Linked DNA regions of Neodiprion lecontei. The protein of the gene in region 2 purifies or fractionates together with the protein of the main gene of each other region. This does not show direct contact. Links are inferred from orthologs where the notes say so. Each region holds a gene or a part of one and is shown on either strand. Other genes may lie near its edges. The genes, in order: cell division cycle protein 27 homolog, anaphase-promoting complex subunit 2, anaphase-promoting complex subunit 13 and anaphase-promoting complex subunit 1.

Region 1 (6,833 bases), on a different chromosome or scaffold from region 2:
CTCAAAAACTCGATTATATTTAGTTTCAACGAGTTACACTGGATGCATTTGTGTCTTATGATGCATCCAGTGACCTACCAGAAACGTGTCATGGCAATGTCCGCATCCAACTCTACACATTCCAGGCATAGAGAGAACGGGCGGAGTTACTGGCGAAGGCGCTAAATTTATTATGCGCTTGCAATTTGGTCTTGGACAAGCAATTCGCTGTGAAGAACTCTTGCATATAAGTAAGCAGTTGCAAGGACAACGGACGTACTTCTTTCCTGGTGGAGCATTTCTTATCGGCTGAAAGGAACGTCATCAATCGTGACTATCATATTAGTATCGTATCCTAAAGTAAAGGATCGAATACTGGTAATACTCAAGATTTTAGATACTTGAAATAAGTTCAAACAAATTGTTGAAAATAATTGTACATTCGCCGAGTTGAATTGAATCGTTCCTTGTTAGAATTAGATTTTGCAAGCTTGCAAAAAAGACTGATGTCTTATCGTTTAGAATTTGAAATGACTGTAAGAATATACAAAATATTTTTTAATACCATTTGATATTTCTATGGACATAAGTGACTGTTTACTCTGTAAGGATTTGAAGTCCTTAATCTCACAATATGAAATAGTTTTTCTCGATATGCAACATTCTATGTGGTGAGGCATTATTAATTTAATATGGAAACGAAGTCTTTTACGTTCGTCGAAAGGTGCTAAATAATATTAGTAAACCGATGTTGATAAAAAAAAATAGTGGAAATAGTAATAAAATGTGGTAAAACTGACTGTAGCTTCGTTACACTGGCAGCATTTAACAACATGTTGATCCCGCTTGCCGGATATGTCTATCATAGCTTGGCAAACTCTGCATGTGACCATAGGGATTCCACCCTGCTGAGTGGACTGGTAGGGTGGCGGTAACTCGTCTGGACCGATCGGACATACTGTATTGACTGTGGATTCAGCGGCAGCTATCAGATACAGAGATTGAAAAGAAGAGTGAAGGTAGAAAACTAGTAATTTATAGTTCGATATTACAGACTTTGTTCTTCTGAGTTGAGAGGTTCAACTTGACTAAATAATGCGACTGCTATGTGTAACGCATTAATACGAACCTGTTATATCCGTCGAAACACTGGTGTAGGATATATTGTCATTTTTTAACAAGGGCTGGCGTTCGCCCTGTTTTCCATCGCCCATTATGGAAAGTTTTTATTATCTATTCTTCGAGAATCACCAAGCTCGATCCACTGACAGAACTCCGATGACAAATATTACCTCTTCCCCTATTGACAACTGGGACTTGATACGACACGTAGAGTGGCAACCGGCTTGCTCATTAATCAGCTGGCATCTATCTTCACATCGCTGTATTTTTGACCGGCTAATTTAGGTTCAAGTACGGCTTTATCGTTCGGCCATTTCGTTGATATTGAACAGAAATCAATCCAAGTGTGAATGATGTTTAAAAAGATTCATGGTTTTTGCACGAAATTATAGCGTATTTCGAGGTATTCAAAATTACCCGGTATAGGCGCGGTATCTTCCTTCTTAGAGATATAGAGATTTTTATCGGCTACTAGTGACTTTTGGACTGTTTGAAGCATTGGATCGGGTGACAGGCACTGCGATATAGAGGCAACTTCAGATGAGTCCAAGAAAGCTGGCAAAAGCAAATATGGAGTCTTGAGAAATTTTTATACGAATTTGCCGAGGAAGTGCACAATTTTCAGATTTCAAATTGAAACGAATCAATTGAAATTCATATTTATATGCGTGGTAAAGGTGTAAACGATGATTGTACAGGAACCAGTGCAGGTAAAATTATCATTTAATTAATATACGGTGTCCAACGTGTTTCAACGATTATTTCTTTGGTTGTAATTTTGACATCCCAGTGGCACGCACGACTTTATTACTTCTTAGATTTATTTTTTCAAAATGAAGCGTCAACGTTTGCAGATATCGTGACTGCAGGATAACGCAGCGACACTTTGTTCTCGTCAAAGTAATAATCTTATAGAAATTAGTTAGTTTGCCTTGAGATCTGCATGTCTTACTCCTTCCGTTTATCAATCAACAAAACATACGAGAATATCAATTGTTTACACGATTTATAACGCTTTTTAGGCTGCCATATGGCACTGTTTAAATCACTATGCTTATCGAGATGCAATATTCTTGGCGGAAAGACTGTGGGCCGAACGTAAGTAATACATAACCATCCAAATATATTCACCGTTTGAAATCGTTAACTTTTCAATGTCACCTAAATAGTCTTTGCCAAAGTCATAAAGCCTTGTGCTAATTAATTTTTACCTCATACAAAAAGAAATCTATTTTATCTATTTAATGTATACAGTGGTTCAGAAACTATTATATCTATATATTCAAAATTTTCAGTCAATACAGTTTCAATGAAATGAATTGCTTCCCTAAGTAGTTACTACTTTATAAAATACTGACGCTAGCCTTCCATTCTAGTCGACACAGAAGATGCATTATTTTTATTGGCAACGTGTTATTACCGTTCAGGACGTGTTAGACAGGCTCACGCTCTGCTCACCAAAAAGGCGCCGAGTTCTTCACAGTGCAGATTTCTCTTAGCAAAGTGCTGCTATGACCTGGAGAAGTTAGTAATCTTAAACCCCGTTTTACTTAGTTTGTAGCAAATTATTATCCACTGTTGTGTATTGAATTGTCCAGAAACTTTGTACCGTGAAATCATGGGACCTTGATCTTCAAACCTTTAGATCCACAGCTGGAAATTGCATGATTCTGTACTTGGAGAATGTATAAGATCAATCTTTGTTTTTTCTATCATGTAGATATGCGGAGGCCGAAGCAGCGATAATCGGTGGATACTATAAGCAGTTGAAGAATTTAGATGAGATAGTGACACAGTTTGGAGACCAGGCTTGCTTCTCGTTACAGATAATAGCCAAGATTTATTATAGAATGATGCGAACAGCGAAGGGAAGTGAGGCGCATAAATTAGCATTAAAGTTGAACCCATTCTTGTGGCACTCTTTTGAGGAACTCTGTAACGTTGGGGAAAAGGTTGATCCTGCCAAGACTTTCCAACTTGACAAACTAGACAGTTTTGCCACTTGCCACGGTACTACCCCGATACTTAATTATGCCAATGAACCAGATCTCATTACTCCGGTTGCAAATAACCCAGTCACACCAATTCCTAATAACATGTGAGTTGAACTTTCGTGTGATGTAATGATTTTTTACACATCTGCACCTGAGATTCTGACTAACGTAAAGTTTCTTACTCTTTGGCAGCACTCCTGCCCAGAATAATGTCGGGAATGGTATTAATTCTGGTGTAAAGTTGTTCGCTACGTCTGATGAAAGTCCAGCAGGTTTTCCATCCCAAATACTAAATTGTTCTGCGGCATCGCCTAGGGGAAAAATGCCTCGCTATCGTAGCATGTTTAGTAACTCCATGAGCCCTTTGACACCGAGCTTTGGAATTCTCCCATTGGAAACTAATACACCGGAACAAATTGGACCGCCTCATGCAACGCTCTCCGAAGCAAACGATCAGAAAAGTTTGGCCAAGCGAGTCAGCAGTTTAAAAGCGCATGTCGGAGTGAGTGAAGTTTGGCAAATAAGTGGTTCAGTTTTTTTGTTTTTTTTCCTCATGTATCGATCTAAAGGTAATTATTTATTAAATTCTGCAGCAACTAATGTCTCGGAAAGAAACGCCTTTGCAGCAAGGTAAACCAGTGTTTTCTCAATCTGGAAACACGAGTAATACAGCAAACATTGTTACGGTCACACCAACGGCTCCAGTCCCGACTCCACAAGCTCTTCAGGGACCCAACGTTAGGCGATCTTCCAGACTTTTTAGTAACAGTTATTCTGTCAAGGTATTTCTGATGAATTGATTGAACGCATTAGATTCGGTTTTAGAATCTCAAATAATTCTCTGAAAATCTGTGATCCTCAATTTGTACTTTGATTAATTCTTTTTTTCAAATTTTTTATAGGAGAATAATAAATCGCCAAATAGGAATAAATTCGCCCCACCAAAATCACCCTCTCGGAAACCCAAAGCAAGACTATCAAAGACTAATTTAAATAAGGCAAACTTCAACGAACTGAATGAGAGAAATAGAAATGAAAAGGAAAAAAGTGAAACGATCACTTCGGACAGAGTGATATCGTCCACTAACACACTAAACCAAAATAACATGATGCACTGCGCTTTACTCGTTCAAAAACAGTGCGCCGGTGAGTCAAGTACCCAATTACATGTTTGGCAAACTTTCTTATAAAATATTGTTTCTCGTAATTAAATTTCACGTCATCAATCAGTTCAAACGTTTATTTTTTAGAGGGACTTATGACACTGTTGAGGGTCCTGGGCACAGCGTATCAACATTTGAGTCAATTCAATTGTTCACAAGCTATTGAACTATTCAGTGTTTTACCTGCGCAGCATTATAATACAGGCTGGGTCCTCTCGATGCTTGCAAAAGCGCACTTCGAGATGATAGATTACAAAAAAGCTGCGAGGTACAGCAAATTTCTTGTTACGTTGAACAAAATTTCGAAAAAAAAAAAACTGTCATTCAATAAACAGAACCGAATTTGCTTCCTCATCAAATGTAAAAAATAGCTAATGTAACTTTTGATGCTTTTCTGCTGTAGTTATTTCGCACAAGTTAGACAACTGGAGCCGCAGAGAACAGAGATGATGGAAATTTATAGTACTGTACTATGGCATCTTCATGCCGAAGTTCAGTTGTCCACCCTGGCACAGGAGCTCGTCTCGGAAGACCGATATTCTCCAACAGCTTGGTGTGCTACTGGAAACCTATTTTCGGCCCAAACAGAACATGAAACAGCGATTAAGTTCTTTCAAAGAGCCATACAGGTATTGCGTCCAATCTTCCAGTCTTTCGCTGTCTCCGAGGAGAAGCAGAAAAAAGAACGGTCCTTTGCTATTCGATTCCGTTTTTTTTTTTATTTTTAGCACTCTTTACATAGAATAGTTTAGACAATAGCTTAACACATATTTTATTTTCGATTATAGGTAGATCCCAACTTCCCATACGCGTACACACTTCTGGGTCACGAATATGTTATGACAGAAGAATTAGACAAAGCAATCACAGCATTTAGAAATGCTATTCGACTTGACCCGAGGCATTATAACGCGTGGTAAGTTCCTCGTTAATCCTTAGCGATACGATACCGTTTTTGTTGAAATTTCTCCCACTGGAATTTTTCTCACCTCTATATTTATATTCTCACAATGGAATTATAAACGTTGGTTGTTTTGTAGAACAACTTATTATTGAATACACAGTTAATTGGATTTGAAATTTTTATCATCAGGTTTGGACTTGGAACGATATTCTCTAAACAGGAGCAGTACAGTTTAGCCGAACTACATTTTAAACGGGCGTTGCAGATTAATCCACAAAATTCGGCAATCATGTGTCACATAGGGGTTGTACAACATGCTTTGAAAAAGACTGATCTTGCATTGAAAACATTGAATCAGGCGATCCAAAACGACCCTGACAACACGCTTTGCAAATTTCATCGAGCAAGCATTAATTTCTCTACAGGTCGACCTGCTGAAGCATTAAAAGAGTTTGAAGAACTGAAGAATATTGTACCCAAAGAATCTCTAGTCTACTATTCGATAGGAAAGGTAAAATATATTCACTAGTACTCATTTTTAATTTCTAAAAATATTGGGCTGATTTTCACTTGCTTTTTTTTACATTCGAAAAATCTTATTTCCTTGCAACAGGTGCATAAACAGTTAGGAAATACGCACCTCGCGCTTATGTACTTTAGTTGGGCCACAGATTTAGATCCCAAAGGTGTCAACAGTCAAATAAAAGAGGCCATACTGAGTCCTGGCCAAGGTGACGATGACCCTACTACACAATTAGGTGAGATGAATCAGAATAATTCCCAAAATTGGTTGAAGGCTGCACTTGCTGGATGTCATATAAAATTCCGGGTTCATCTATTTTCAGCTGAAAGACAGGCACAAAACAGTTCGACGGAACAAGAGGGAGAGGCAAGCGGGGAAGTTGATCAATCAGCAAATGTTACGATTGACCCTCAGATCGACGATAGTGATAACAGCTTATGAGTGTCTTGATCTGGCGTACCGCTACCGTTACTGCTGGCCAAAATACCTGTATACTTTGTTATAAACAGCCCTCACCTAATAATGTAATAGCTAGTGCGCAAGTGCCCATTTGGAATAGACAGCTATAGAAAACGAGGAAAAACTTAATCTGAAATAATGGAATGAAATATTAGTTTATAACTTACGTGACTTATTATTTTTCCTTGACAATATTTACCATTCTCATTTTTCTACGCATCGCGCGCGATAACTAAGATTGTTGAAGATACAAGAAGATTCCGTACAGTAATTCTTACACAATTTTTAGCACATGGATTTTCTATTTACTACTATCCAACAATGCTATTCGTCACATTTGTAATACCGCGGCTGATAAAGTCCGTATTATTCTTCAAGAAAATTGTACATAACAACTACTTTTGCTGAAATTCAAAAAATAACATTTCAACTATTGTACATGAGATGCTTTCACTTTTATATTCTCAGTTTCTATGATCAAGCAAAAATATACAACAAATATAATCATGATTTCCGCAGTAAACCACGGCCGAAGTGCCCTAGGTGTATTTCTGCCTGATGATTATTTTTTCTCATTAATTCGCTTCTCTCCGCAATTGAAAATATGATTAGGCTTCTATCATGTATCTATGTACATTATTGTCGAATAGATTATAAGTATATTGTGTGATTCCAGTGTAAGACGTCGT
Region 2 (6,213 bases):
ATACTGTTACATGCAAGTTGATTAGTTATAAGGGAAAACGGACTGGACAGCTCTTTTATGCTTATTTCCTGCTTCAAAATTTAATGTCTCAATTCTGTAGAATCAAAAGTGCGAAACTAACGGATTCAATTTGACCGTTTATAATGTCAAGGCAAGTCAAGTCAATAAATACAGTTAATACGTTGTTCAAATTGAATATTATCCCAAAAAAGTTTTCTATTTGATTTGGTCAATTTTTCTACAGTTTCCTTTTTCCCAACGATCCCCTCATTTTTTTTGTTGCTTGTTGCTTTTATGAAAGTCAAATATTAGATTAGGTTCAAGAAATTCATGAGAATGGTATAAATTTTTTCTTAGAACACTGTAATAAAACTGCTCCTGACATTGTCCCATTTGATATTTTTCACTTACTTCGCTGTACTCGAATTACTTTGGGCTTCTGCCTCTGTTTCTTACTGCCTGTAGTCAGATCTGAGGGAGAATACGGCCTCGGCTTTCTTCTCGGCCTACCAGTAGATGTTGGAACAGAACTAGTTGCAACGTTGCCAACCTGTGAATATAAATGGATAATAACATGACTTAACAGTTCCGGCGTAACTTCAAAGTTTCTTCAAACAGTCCTATTCTTACCTCTACAAATCCACTTTGCCCAGTCTCAACTACTTCCAAATTGCTGATTCCCCATATCGGACACAAATTAACTGCGGGTAAAATTGCATAGTCGTTCATGTGACTTGCAACATTATCTTGAGCAATTTGATCATTCAACTCAATCAGTTCCTGGCAGTGCAACTGCCTGTTTTCATCACACTTGTAGCTACTTTCGTCGGCGGTTTGAAACATCATTTCCGAGGTATTGCCTGAAGATTCAAGTTACCATGAGTATGTGAATTAAAAGGTACAATTTCTTTTATTCAACAATCCTTAATTCATTATTTTTTTGTAGGCATGCAAATATATTTCATATTACGAGTGTGGTGCTATATACTAATTCATACTCCACTGACTGAAGTTATCCCTGAGACAGTTCTACGAAATTAATCATAAATTAAATTGACAAAACGATTTCTCTTCTAAGGCAAATTGTTTACGTAAGACAGAATTATGGAAATATTCGATGCACACTTTTATCACTATTCTGTAGTTCATGTATTTTTCTGCAAGTGGATTCGAATTCATGAAAAGATCACAATTCAAATTGAACCAACTTACATAGATTATTGCTAACATTCGACAGGTGATAAAACTTCTTGCCTTCTGAATACGTTTTTGGATTACTCCTGAACGGAATAAGAGAATAAATTTTCCTCTAAAAATTTAACGATTTTAAAGTAATGAAATGGCATTTACTACAAAAATGAATTCAAATTTTAACAAAACTTGTTACTGCTATCAGTATCACGATGAAAAAAACAGATATCTACACAGTTGAATGGTAAAGAGACGTTATACCTATATTATTCCTCGGTTCAATCCGTGTTCAAGCGGAATCAGAAAACCTCCGATACTCATACTCGAACAATAGCATTTTTGTTTTTTTGTTTTTTTTTTTTTTTAACGGTACGGAATTCCCCGCTTAGCAGAGTTAAAATACATCGCATAACCTATTACGTCTATCTACAATACAAAATAACCGTAAACATTATTATTGCATCGCGTATTACTGCTTGACGTTGAGTCTTCCCGCATTTATAGGTGCATAATTTAACCTTGTGTCTTAACTAATGATTCTCGGTAGAATTCAGAAGAATCAGGCAGTTTTATCAAAATTTATTATAATAATATGCTTTTCGATTCGAAACAACTTACCGACGAGACACTCCATATTGGAATGTGTGGAAAAACACAACAAATGAACGTGAAAATGTCCGTAAGATAATATATAAGGTCAAACTGAAGTTGTTGAAATAAAAACTTGGTCACACACGAGTGAAGTAGGCAACAGCTGTTTACAAAATGCACGTCGAATTGACATTAGGATCACTAAACACCTGCCAAACTGTATGAACATTGCTGCAGATATGGATATGGCGGCAATAAATGCCGCGTCTGAGCAGGACGTACTCTTAAAAATCGAATATGCTTTTCCGATCCTCAGACAGAAGGTATTTCAATTACTCATCCCTCTATTTTTCGTTGGTGTATCATCACTAGTTATTTAGTCTAATCAAAGAGTCGTCAATCTTTAGGCACGGTTTTCGATTTTGTTAAGGTTATGTTTACGATCTGCGTTATGAATTTTCAAACTCAAACATTTACACTGTTGTCATCTAATATCGTTATCTACGGCTAATTACGAGGATTACAAATATATTATTGGATCGAATTAAGATAGTTTTAAATTTTGTCAAGGTTCTCATTATTTGTTTGAAATCTTCATATCGGAGAGTAATCGTACCTGTCATTCCATTATTATACAGGTACTCAGCGAATGTTCTGACGAACAGTTTACCGATATACTCAAGCAAATAAATGATTTGAAACTGTTGGGAAGAATTGAGGAAATAGTTATACAAAGTATAGAATACTATATTCGTCAACACGTAGCTCCAGACTTCTGGAGTAATTTTAGCAGTACAACAAATGAACAACATGGATTTGAATGCTTCAAAAACGCCGTTGACGGCTTGTATTCCAGCTTAATAGAGTTTCTACCGATGTTAAAACGACTAGAACAACTTGTACAAAGCAAGGAGTCTGATGGATCGTTCTATGGGGAAAACAATATTTTAGGACAGTTTAAACTTATTGTTAAAGCTACGTTATTGAGTCAACTTGCATTGAATCATGAAATAATCATAGAACACTTCTATAGAATTGCATTCAATGTGTTCTGTAATACTGACACCTCACCGCAAGGTGAGTTGTTTGAATTAAGGGAAAAAGAAGTAATTGCTCTTTTCACTATTTCTGCTCTATTAATCGATCACTTGGTATAACAAGTATGAAAATTTCTAATTCAACTGGCTGTAGTAAATCTAATTTTAACAAATTCCGATCATCAGTCAGTGTTAAGTTCCAGATTACACACCAATTAGTATTAATGAGTTACAAGACCAGTCTGCAACTTGTAAACGTACAATGATTCAGTCGATAGTTTCAATCAATATTCAAATTCTTCAAAACGCTTTGCTTCAGCGCTATTTATCAGCTTCCAATCTATTCCACCCCAATTTTTCTACTGAAAAGAGTAAACCTATCTTGTTCCTCATCGCCTTGGATCCACTTAATGACAGAATTATTTTTCGTGCAGATGATTCAATTGGTAGTCACAGCCTCTGCAAAGGTTGCAATCGGGAAATAGATGACTGTCAGTGCCAAGCAATAGTATACATATTTCATGAAACAAATCGGAAGTTAATCGAGCTTGAACTGCTCGAGCGATTAGTTGGAAATGTCTTGACTTCGCTGATAAATATCCGCATTGAGAGTCATGTCAATAAAGCGTGTGAGAGCAGTTTTGATGTATCACAATTAACGTTTTTGGAAAACGTAAGTGTACAAGAGTCTGAAATTTTTGTGAAACATCGACTCGCTCACCGAAACAACACTATTGCCTAGAATAACAATACTTTGTATTCCACAGTGGCTCGAAACAGTTGTTATGAGCTGGCTAACAAGAATATATTCTGGAGGCTCTTCAAAATCCCCTTCTTTGAGCAGTAAAACGCGCGAGACAATTAATAAATTCAAATACAAATTGTCCCATTTCCTTTACGAAACATATACGCGAACGAGAATTGATCAGCTGTTCAACATCATTATAGGTAAGGAAACAATAACCGTGATTAAGTATCTACTTGCACAAATACCGTGATATTTCCAAGCCAGGTAAATATATTTCGAAATTTTAGAATACCCTGAGTCACAGCCGGCAATAGAAGACTTACGAGTTGGTTTGGAACGAACAGATCTACGCAAGACGTTGGTTGAAAGTTTACAAGATGCTCTGAAAACAAGGCTACTACATCCAGGTGTAAATACCCCTGATATTTTAACGGCGTACATAGCAGCCATAAAAGCTTTGAGACAGTTAGATCCAACCGGCGTTCTTTTGGAAACTGTTACGCAACCAGTAAAGTAAGTTAATATTCTATTACCCTCTCAGGTCAGATTAAATACCCACATCTCCAGTATATTACAACAAATTTATCTCTTACTTACAACCAGGCAATACCTGAGGAGTAGAGAAGACACGGTAAGATGCGTGGTTAGTGGTTTGTTGGATGATTCCCCTAGCGACTTAGCTGATGAATTGGTGAAGGGCGAATCGTTGCAGCTGGAAGAAAGTTCAGTCGACGAGGAAGACGAAGACTGGGAAAAGTGGATGCCAGATCCAGTCGATGCAGATCCTTGTAAGCTAGGTTTGCATTTTAATATGAGAAGCTGCATAAGTTTTATATTTTTGTAACCCGATCTTTGTGTGATCCTAATTTTCAGCCAAATCATCCCAACGCCGAGTATCGGATATAATTTCCATGCTGGTTAATGTTTACGGAAGCCAAGACCTGTTCGTTAATGAATATAGAACTTTATTAGCAGATAGACTACTTTCACAGCTAAATTATCATACTGAAAGAGAAATTCGTCATTTGGAATTGCTCAAAAGACGTTTTGGAGAAAATCAATTACACTATTGTGAAGTGATGCTCAAAGACGTTTACGACTCAAAAAGGATAGATGGGAATATACAGTCGGATTCCAGTTACTGTGTCGAAGCACACCTTTTCCCTACCTCTGCGCTCATTCTATCGGCTCAATTTTGGCCGCCTTTCAAGGAAGAGTGGAAATTAGAATTGCCAAAAGCTGTTCAGGATCAGCTAGCTAAGTACATGAAAGCATTTGAAGCTCTTAAAGGGAACAGAACGCTATGCTGGAAGCCTCATTTAGGAAATGTAAACCTGGAAATAGAATTGAAAGACAGGAAATTGAACATGAATGTCACACCTATCCACGCTACAATCATTATACACTTTCAAAATAAAAGTGAGTACTAAAGCACGTTTGTAAATACGGTGAAGATCTTATTACTTATTAACCATGTTAATATTTGTATCTCAAGATGAATGGACGATCGACGAACTGAGTGAAGCAATGCACGTCCCAGCAACTGTACTCCGTCGTAAAATAACGTTCTGGGTATCCCAAGGAGTTTTGAAAGAGATCTCAAGCGATAAGTTTTTACTACAAGAAGAAAGTGCAACTAAAAATCGGTCGACAGCTGAAATTGTTGAAGAAGAGGAAGTAGAAAGTGCAATGGCTTCGGCTAGTGATCAGAGGGAGGAGGAATTACAAGTATTTTGGTCATACATCGTTGGAATGCTGACGAATTTGGATTCTATGCCCTTGGAGCGAATACACCAAATGTTGAAAATGTTTGCCTCACAAGGGCCAGGTGCTGTGGAATGTGGTTTACCAGAATTGAGACATTTCTTGGACAAAAAAGTTAGAGAACATCAGCTGTTATTTTCTGGTGGATTATATAAATTGCCTAAATCGTAATGATTGTCTTTACGATGACCGAAAAATAATTAAAAATATAAAATAATTGTAGGCCTTTTGTAAGCCAAAGAAATCATATTGATTCGACTATGACAATTTTTTTATCATCATCAAAGTGTAATAATTATTGGTTTAGTTTTTGTATAGAAAATATACCTTACAAATAGTAAATTGTAATTTTTTGACAAAGTTTTTTCCTACTTATTTTCGTACAGCTTAAAATTCAAGCTTATTGAATAATTGTAAAAATAATTCTTGATAACTATTTTACAATCATCTTATTTTTTGGAAATTTATTGTTGAAAGTAAGGAGTAAACTGTTATCAAAGTTTAAATGAGCTGTCGTATTACATTAATATTGATTTTTTACTGCAAACTTTCTGATTTATCAAGCTGCAACTCTACACATAAAGAGATGTTCGTAATCGTAGTATGAAATCGTAGTATGAAATTCAGTAGGTAAAGTATGAAACCTCTAAGAGATAAATATCGTATTGAAACACAATAACTGAGTTTTATCAGAAAAATCCAGATACCATGATATCAGCGTCAGTCAGTGTGAGTGGGTGGGTGTCTTGATGTGAGATCATTTATTGAGCATTGATTAGATATTTGCAGTATTCCCGCATATCAAAAGGCGTAAAACGTATTACAATTAACAGGAGGCAAATTCAGCAGATAGAGAGTCGATTGCCAAATGGCGGTCTCGTC
Region 3 (3,271 bases), on a different chromosome or scaffold from region 2:
AACTTCATGTATATTCGCTTTTTTTCAACAGCGTGTGCATGTAAAATCATTGATATATATTGTAAAATCACTAGCGCGGTGAGGAAAAAATTATCCGACGAATGAAAAAAACACGCAACTCAATCCGTAAATCGAGATAAATCGGGTACGGTTTTTTTTTTTTGGGGGGGCAAAAATAAGAGTCTGCTGAAAAGAAAGCGAGTCACTGCTGATTGCGAGTCAAGTTTTGGCAGCGTGATACGATTTGGCCAAAATCTCGCCGCATATTTTGATCGCATTTAAAAGATTTCTAACCTTGTTCTGCAAAACGTCGGCTGAACTGTCAGAGACGAAAAATCCGCGAATTCGACATAATTTTGGAGACGTGTATTGTTTCAGGTCATATATCAATGTTGACGTTGTTTTGGGTTCGTTTAAAGGTTATTTCAGCAGTCGCGATTCATTTTTTACCCACTGCGCATGACCAACGATGTTCAGGTATGTGCTTACTGGGCCGCCATTTTGTAAAACATGTTTCAAGAGCGCGGAAAATTCGAAAATTTATTCACATTTCAACAGCATATTCTTCGTGCACGATTAAATACTAAATACTATAGATCGTTTTCGAATGTCACCGCATGTTTGTGTTGATATGTTCAAAGTTTAATTCAAAGATCACAATTCTGTTTACAGACGATACAACGTTTAGTTTAGGTCCGAAATGTCAACAAAATTCACGCCCCTCTGAACGTTGATGCAAGAAATATATTAGCGACAGTTCAATCAGAGGCAACGAACTTAAACAGATTAATATAATTCAATATAATGATTAACAGTGCCAAGGTGAATTTCTGAGTCTTACGTCGTGGAAAAACAAAACAGGAGAGTGACAAGTAGGAAATGACTGCCCTTGAAATACAGGTTACGTCAAGGCGCATGACACAATGTATTTCTTAGTTATCCGGCATATTTCGCATTACTACAGTCGCTCGAGATGAGGGAAGTTCAGCTGATTGCGAACTCTGAATACATTCTCAAAAGTGAGAAAAAAGTAAGGGTGAAATCCGAGCAAGACGCAAAGTTGACGCAAGGCTAGTTGATAAACACGGTGGAAAGTATACAGATATTGTTTTGAGCAATAGGTTTTGACAGAGGAGTGGTACCCACTCGAGACTTACCAATGGCATTTTAAGCTTCGTCGTGATTTAGGCAAATGAATACGGCCAGCCAATAAACCGAAATCCTTCAGGCGAACATGGGTTCAATTCTTCCTCGACCAATTATCACTTTTCGGTTATATTTTATCAGAGATAACAGCAGGATAACGGCTCACACGCAGGTCCCTGATCGTCATGCATTTCTATGCACGATGCGCGCGCACGATGGGAACCAACCTTACAAAAAAAAAGTAATGACACGCTAGTGGTTTAATAATTCCAAGAACAGCTTTGCAACAAATCCGCCAGGGTACGCGAAACTAGCATACTCGGCAGTGAAGCGGCAAGATTGAATTTCCACCGTGGCAATAAACGCCCTGCGTTGATCAACGTAACAACGGCGTGACTGAAGATTTAATCCCAAAATTGATTAATACAACAGCAAAATGATGAATTGTTTGTACTGGTCTCTTATTGATCGCTGACTCCTAGGCTTCTAGCGCAGGGCAGCTGGGCCGATCAACAGCCCAAAAAACCGACACTAGCACTCCAATAGCTGAAGTTAAACCAACGAGTCACGTGGTGATAGCTTATAAGGCACTGATTTATTTTAGTCACGTGGTACAGCGTGAGGAAGTTTGAATGTGTTCACCTCGTGAACAAAATTACCATGTTTTTCTTCTACTGATTATATATTTACTTAAAGAAATGCACTAACCAATGTCGAAAAGTTCATGTATTTTCTCTATTTTCATACAAAAACAACGAAATCTCGTTTCTGTAGGAACGTTTGCGTGCTGTCAGTTCTGTCACTTTAACTTCATACATACACAATGAGCCACGTGATTCGTTAGTTTCATTTGGAACACTGTAGTTCCATAAATTTCCGTCGATTACGAGTTTCAGGTTAGGGTCATATCTTAGATTATGAGTTAGTCTACAGTAACCGTGCAATGTAATTACTCATTACTTTTTTCAGAAGCGTTGTATCACTTCACGACTAGATTTCTGTTGTTGTTGAAATTCATAGAATCAGGAACAGTACGTGATTTGAAAATTGATACTGACATTTCATAATTTTATCTTCCACAATTTGCTGAATCACGCTAATAGATTTTATGAACTGAAATTCAGTATCACAATATTGGTATAACTATGGAAATGATATTCGACAACTACTTGGAAAATTTCAATCAAGATAAATTTCATTTCACAAGGAAAATCAGAGTTTTCATATTTTCCAGACTATTGTCAGTCTCGTTAATTGATCGTACTGTCAATTCACGGTATGGACAGTCAAGTCTGTGCTGATGGTAAACTGCTGGAAGTGATCGACGATAATTGGCGCAAGGAACGTCTTCCGATTGACGAAATATCAGTTCCACTCGCCGAGCTTCCTGACCCAGAAAGTGACAATGGAGATTCGCACATGACTCTAAAAGAATTGGAACAAAAGTGGAATAACTTGGCACTTAGCACACTTAGCGAGAATCACTTGCACTCTCCTACGCCGCCACATAACTAAACTAGCTATAAATCTAATGTAAAAAATATGTACCAAGTTTGAATTTTATACTGTGTTTTGAAATAATATCAGCCTGCTTATTTTGATATCGTTGATAATATTTGGCCAACAATGGAGTTCCCTAGCTTAGGAGTTCGTTGTTCGGTATCTGCTTGTAAGCAACTGGATTTCTTGGCCTTTTCATGTTCGCATTGCAAATTAATTTTCTGCAAGGAACACTTTCACGTATCAGCTCATTCTTGTTTAAAATTTCAAGATAATATCGTTGAATCTCCTGAGTCAGTTTCCGATTATTACTGCTCTGATTCTTCTTGTAACAACCATTCACCCGTGGAAATACCTTGCGTCAAATGTTGCTTACATTTTTGCATCGCGCACCGTCATCACGGCTGCTTAGACATTAGCGAAGAACAGAAATCGAAGGAACTGGAAAAGTGGAATAAACCACGGCAGGAATTTGACGAAGCAAAAGCAACAGTCGATAAGCAAATCAGCAATTCTTTGAGAAAAGCTAAAAATTCTACGGTTGCTGTTAAGGTACATTCGTCATCGAATCTGTGATATCTTATCTATTTGTGTCGATTCTATTTTGAATCTTGTCACTTTCATA
Region 4 (4,623 bases), on a different chromosome or scaffold from region 2:
ATAACGATACTATATGGTTATTATATTTTGAAATACAAAAACGGAATTGATCGGAGAAAATTAGGCGATGCTGCTTTTTTTTTTACTGTAAATATTTTCTTAAGATTTATTACATATTAGCGGACCATAAAATTAGTAGCTTTGCAAGTATTAAGTAAATAATGAGATTTGCTAAATGCATAGTTGCAAAAATAAATCAGCCGACCTCGGTTTTGTGAAGTGAAAGTATTGGAATATTACTACTTAGGGGCCGTTCTGGGCTTGTACTTCCCTCTGATATTGTCATTCAGACCTTCCCTGTTTCTTGCCAACTCAATAGCATAGAATTGGATTCTGGATGTTAGTATGCTGTTTTGTTCAGAATATTCTCCATCACAATCCGCCCTTACCAGGGTGCCGAAACTGTAGTCTTCTACAACCTCCTTGAATTGTTCGCAAAACGGCCTCCACTTTGCTTTTCCTTCGGGCGACTTAAGCTCATCCTCGTTAATCTTGTCTACTTTAAAGTCTGGAAACGATTCTCTGAATGATTTGTAGATCAAATCATCGTGCGGTGTCAGTCTTAGGAGCTTAGGATCCACCGAACATAATATCTGGAAATGAAACAGTGTTTATAAGCTGGAGAAAAATGTGCATAGATATTTCGGATGAAAAAATTCTGTTACCAACGTTAAAGTATATCTCTGCGTGCTCATACGCCTTGATTGCCCACATTGCCTCCACTGATGGCTGGAATAATTTTTGGACGGATTAAAATTGGTCAGTTTAGAAAATCTGAGAAACATAGGACACTTTAGGAGTCTGGTAATTGAGTTTGAATGAATTATTTTTGGCTTACGTCATTGTCAAACTCCTCGGCAGGCCTGGACAGAACGCTGCTTCCTGCTATCAATTGATCAGCTGTCTGTATCGTAGGGTAAATTATTGATGATTAGTGTTTCTTTGAAATGGGTACGTAAAACAGTGAGAATATCAAATATAGGTTATGCTTTGTACAATAGGTTTTCAGGTATTGTAAATCGTTGCAAAGGCTTGCAGAATGATATTTTTTTCAGGGAAATTAAAATCAGACTACATTTTGGTTGTGATCTGACGATAAAATTCTATAGAACGTATCTGAGCGTCATTATTTTACTTACCACATCACCCACATGTGCCATGTTTGCGCGAATGTTATTGTTATTATAATTATATCGTATATACGTCGAGAGTCAAGTTTGGGAGCGTTGCTTCGAACGGATAAAATTTGTTTAATTCAACTGAAATCTCTTTCCAAATTTTTCTACAATCATACAAACAAGATTGATTGAGTTTTATTCATCAATTTTGTGACTGTAATTTTCTAAGAAAGAAAATATCACGCGATGCACGAGTTCGAGACCTGACACTTTACATAAACTGACAGTTCAAAAACCTTTCTTATAGTAAACCATCGTTAGAGTAAACCGATTATTATTATTCTTCCCCCTAACACGTACACTGATAACGTGCTAAAAATAAATTTTGTGACAGCTACTAGTGTTTACGATAAAATAATAAACAAACTTAGCAAATCTGGATGAAATCGGGGAGAAAATGATCGCCGCTTCCGATCCGCTGGTAAGTTTACTCAGTTTGTTTCTTTTAGGTTATGTTATGTTAGGTTGGGTTATCTTTGCCGGTCGTATATTGCAAAAACTTTGAACGTGATGTGAGCTATAATACGTTTCAGGTCCATTCTGTATCTTAGTCGATCCAACTTGAAAATTATGCAAAAAATTATTTGTGTTTTTACAAATATTTCACGATTTCGTTTTCTGCCATGTTCGTAGCAAATTCCGTATCGTACGATTTCGTTCACGGCGTTTTAAACTGAATACTTTATTGTACTTGCTAACTAATTTCAAATAAATAAATTCCTTATCATGTTTCAAGGAATATGTCCCAGGAGGACGACAGACGATCTTGCGGCATCCAGGTTCTGTCGTTGCCCAGCAATTGGCCAGCAATCAAACTGCGCCAGGAGAGAGTTTCATTTTACAGAGGCTCAGTCAAGTGAATATATCAGAAAAAACGCCTGTAAGCCGTTGAGTATTTTTGAAGGAATTGGGAAATAAAGTTAAAATTATACTCTCTTATTTGAAACAATTAACGAAACATTCAATTACAGCAAGAATTCTGGTCTGTTAGACAAAACAAAACTTACGGCGAAGAGGAATTGTACTGCTCAGGAAAAATTGCCGTTCACTCTAAAGGCAGCGGGTCTACGAGGTCGCTTCAAACTTCATACTCGTGTGACAGTGACATAAAGCATGCTCTTTGGTGTGTGTTTCACTCGACTACACCAGAAAATGTTCCTAATCAACCTGACTTTAATGAGCCTAGCGGGAGCCCCATTGAGTGTATTTGTCTCCTGGATTCATATAACCTGAAGGTTTTCACTGAAACTGGAGAAGACTATGTATCAAGCTTACAATTTCAAGTGGGTAGACAATCTTCGATCTGTTTGGAAAAATTTATCATGTGAAAATGTAAAATATTTCGATTTCATCAATTGATTTAGGTATCATCAGTTTGGGCTACGAAGTTTGGAATTTTGTTGGAAAAGTTCCCAGCTCCTACCACAGTGTCGAGGTAATTATACTCGTAGCTATGCAAATTAAGTCAACAACAGTACATGCTGTTACATTTACTTAGGTATGCCTCTTTGGAAGCGAGCAAACTGGCGGCGCAAAATGAAAACCAATTACCCACAGCATTTTCTCTCAAGCATCCGTTGGACGAAATTTGTCCTCTGCTGCTGAAGCACGGTGAATATTAAATAAATATGGAACTGATAGTTAATCCGAAGTTAGTAATGTTATTCGAACTACGCAGTCTGGGAAATATCGTAATATTCCTCAATTTTAGAATTGTCTCCAAATACAATAAACCGTAATAAAGCAAACCATTCTTATTTTTCGAAAATACAATTACTTTAGAGTCATTTTGAAATTGCAGCGTAGTAATTTTTCCCAATGTTTCGTTACGTCAACGTTACTAATTTCAACTTCGTAACTAGTTTCAGTATACACTTACTGTTAATATTATAAATTAAATTTTAATTTTTGCAGGTAGTCTCTCGTATATGTGCGATTCGCATCAGAAAATAGTGTTTACAAGTTCTGAACCATCGCTAGCTGTTGTCTATGATACCCGTACTGGCCTACATTCAGTTTATAAAATCCGTAAGGCTTCGTCTGACGAGTGTCATGTCGTTTGTGGCAATGACACTACACCTAGTATTATTTTAAATCACTCTGCAACTGGCTCACCTCTTAATATCGGTAGCAATCTTTCTACCAACAGAAGCTCTACTAGCAAAGCTCACGTCAGTATTTTTGGTGAGTTCATTGGTTTATATGAAATATTGAAAATGTCAATATCATCCTTAAAAATGTCTTGTTTTGTGCCTTTTCTACCACTCCCAAACAGGTATTCCTAACTTGCAATCAAGTGGTATTGGTATGGGTATTAGTTTGGCGGGTGGCGGAGTAGCAGCCACAAGCCCTTTTGCATCTCGTGCGGCGTCATATACGACAGGCTCTGTCAGCGGGGCATCGCCTTCGCAGCAGCAACATTCAAGATCTCAGAGTCCGATGGCTGCTATTTCAAGATCTGAATCTCCCACGACTTTCTCTCCGTTATTGGGAGGCCCTAGCAGCTCTATAGCTCATCAAACTAGATTACATCACACAGTGATGGCAACGATTTTGGGGCAGTCGCCGAATAGTCCGAGTAGTCCTTGCAGTAGCTTGCATCTTCAAGATCCCATGGCCAGTCCTAGTAGGCCTCTGTATCCTGAACTTTGCCTGGATCACGTATGGACAGAAAATGTTGGAGTTTCAAAGTGAGTATTAGTGTTCAAGATCTTGTATCAAGTGTCGAACCCCCTGCTCTCCTACCAATCCTCCTATTTTTCCCGATATCCCATCTAGGTCTTACCTGTGCTTGCAGTTCCTTTGGACCTTCAATCAGAAGTGAGTTTCTGTATTAACTTTGTTTTGGCCATAGTTTGGAATTTAGAAGCAAATGTATCCACCCTGAAAAAAAATAATGATCTCAGTGATTATGATGTTAAGAGAAGTAACAAGCATATCTTACTCCGCTTTAATTTAAGGGATGTCATATCTGGACCTGCATCGAAGGTTTTATTGACATCGGATCTTGTCGGTCAAAGTTATTTGGGATATTTAGTACCGAATAGATCTCAACTGTTTTTGGTACGACTTGAGAAGTCAAACAAACAGCAACAAATTATTTTCGGAATGGTTACCAGTATAGTTGCAAAAGATGCTGTCAGTTTGCCGGTGAGATTAATGAATATGATTAATTCAAAACAATTCCATATTTTTCTCCATGTCAGCACAAATTTATATTTGGTATAATTTGTTTTGTACCTATGATTTTTCAGAAACTTCACATGATTGTGACGGTAGATTTGTCCAACGGAGTCGCACTTTATTCCGGAGTGACCTGCGTAGGCAAGGTTCATATTGCTGGAGTTTTGTCTCCTCTGTCAAGTTCGAACTACTATCTTCCAAATTTTGCCCAAAAACTTGGTAGCTCTCCATTTCCACGCAGAAGTTCATTGATCAAGCCAAA

Evidence for each region.
Region 1: the proteins of anaphase-promoting complex subunit 2 (region 2) and cell division cycle protein 27 homolog purify together in Homo sapiens (affinity purification with western blotting; 20 studies listed by BioGRID and IntAct, with this or other methods). This does not show direct contact. The link is inferred for Neodiprion lecontei from reciprocal best matches to the Homo sapiens genes ANAPC2 and CDC27.
Region 3: the proteins of anaphase-promoting complex subunit 2 (region 2) and anaphase-promoting complex subunit 13 purify together in Homo sapiens (affinity purification with mass spectrometry; 3 studies listed by BioGRID and IntAct, counting the BioPlex papers as one, with this or other methods). This does not show direct contact. The link is inferred for Neodiprion lecontei from reciprocal best matches to the Homo sapiens genes ANAPC2 and ANAPC13.
Region 4: the proteins of anaphase-promoting complex subunit 2 (region 2) and anaphase-promoting complex subunit 1 fractionate together in Homo sapiens (co-fractionation; 8 studies listed by BioGRID and IntAct, with this or other methods). This does not show direct contact. The link is inferred for Neodiprion lecontei from reciprocal best matches to the Homo sapiens genes ANAPC2 and ANAPC1.

What each region holds. Positions count from the first base shown.
Region 1 is NC_060266.1:21,419,512-21,426,344, forward strand, and holds cell division cycle protein 27 homolog, read left to right. Parts: upstream 1-1,651; 5' UTR 1,652-1,765; coding exon of another isoform or gene 1,766-1,787; coding exon 1,788-1,811; intron 1,812-2,123; coding exon 2,124-2,199; intron 2,200-2,477; coding exon 2,478-2,625; intron 2,626-2,821; coding exon 2,822-3,199; intron 3,200-3,287; coding exon 3,288-3,597; intron 3,598-3,688; coding exon 3,689-3,877; intron 3,878-3,997; coding exon 3,998-4,241; intron 4,242-4,345; coding exon 4,346-4,526; intron 4,527-4,661; coding exon 4,662-4,887; intron 4,888-5,046; coding exon 5,047-5,174; intron 5,175-5,351; coding exon 5,352-5,673; intron 5,674-5,775; coding exon 5,776-5,920; intron 5,921-6,007; coding exon 6,008-6,126; 3' UTR 6,127-6,306; downstream 6,307-6,833. Other genes in the region: type 1 phosphatidylinositol 4,5-bisphosphate 4-phosphatase, read right to left, coding at 79-288, 780-964, 1,109-1,193. UniProt on the Homo sapiens protein: Component of the anaphase promoting complex/cyclosome (APC/C), a cell cycle-regulated E3 ubiquitin ligase that controls progression through mitosis and the G1 phase of the cell cycle.
Region 2 is NC_060261.1:6,129,791-6,136,003, reverse strand, and holds anaphase-promoting complex subunit 2, read left to right. Parts: upstream 1-1,982; 5' UTR 1,983-2,003; coding exon 2,004-2,105; intron 2,106-2,420; coding exon 2,421-2,859; intron 2,860-3,080; exon of another isoform or gene 3,081-3,123; intron 3,124-3,253; coding exon 3,254-3,492; intron 3,493-3,586; coding exon 3,587-3,767; intron 3,768-3,854; coding exon 3,855-4,080; intron 4,081-4,170; coding exon 4,171-4,355; intron 4,356-4,440; coding exon 4,441-4,986; intron 4,987-5,062; coding exon 5,063-5,502; 3' UTR 5,503-5,669; downstream 5,670-6,213. Other genes in the region: uncharacterized protein LOC107222515, read right to left, coding at 412-550, 631-860, 1,810-1,825; uncharacterized protein LOC107222521, read left to right, coding at 6,200-6,213. UniProt on the Homo sapiens protein: Together with the RING-H2 protein ANAPC11, constitutes the catalytic component of the anaphase promoting complex/cyclosome (APC/C), a cell cycle-regulated E3 ubiquitin ligase that controls progression through mitosis and the G1 phase of the cell cycle.
Region 3 is NC_060266.1:5,014,143-5,017,413, forward strand, and holds anaphase-promoting complex subunit 13, read left to right. Parts: upstream 1-1,944; 5' UTR 1,945-2,042; exon of another isoform or gene 2,043-2,283; intron 2,284-2,362; exon of another isoform or gene 2,363-2,380; 5' UTR 2,381-2,424; coding exon 2,425-2,661; 3' UTR 2,662-2,747; downstream 2,748-3,271. Other genes in the region: AN1-type zinc finger protein 1, read left to right, coding at 2,773-3,198. UniProt on the Homo sapiens protein: Component of the anaphase promoting complex/cyclosome (APC/C), a cell cycle-regulated E3 ubiquitin ligase that controls progression through mitosis and the G1 phase of the cell cycle.
Region 4 is NC_060265.1:30,811,823-30,816,445, reverse strand, and holds the start of anaphase-promoting complex subunit 1, read left to right. Parts: upstream 1-1,575; coding exon 1,576-1,599; intron 1,600-1,914; coding exon 1,915-2,058; intron 2,059-2,149; coding exon 2,150-2,461; intron 2,462-2,542; coding exon 2,543-2,613; intron 2,614-2,676; coding exon 2,677-2,789; intron 2,790-3,092; coding exon 3,093-3,362; intron 3,363-3,453; coding exon 3,454-3,868; intron 3,869-4,138; coding exon 4,139-4,328; intron 4,329-4,432; coding exon 4,433-4,623. Other genes in the region: protein PBDC1, read right to left, coding at 240-593, 670-729, 839-904, 1,140-1,160. UniProt on the Homo sapiens protein: Component of the anaphase promoting complex/cyclosome (APC/C), a cell cycle-regulated E3 ubiquitin ligase that controls progression through mitosis and the G1 phase of the cell cycle.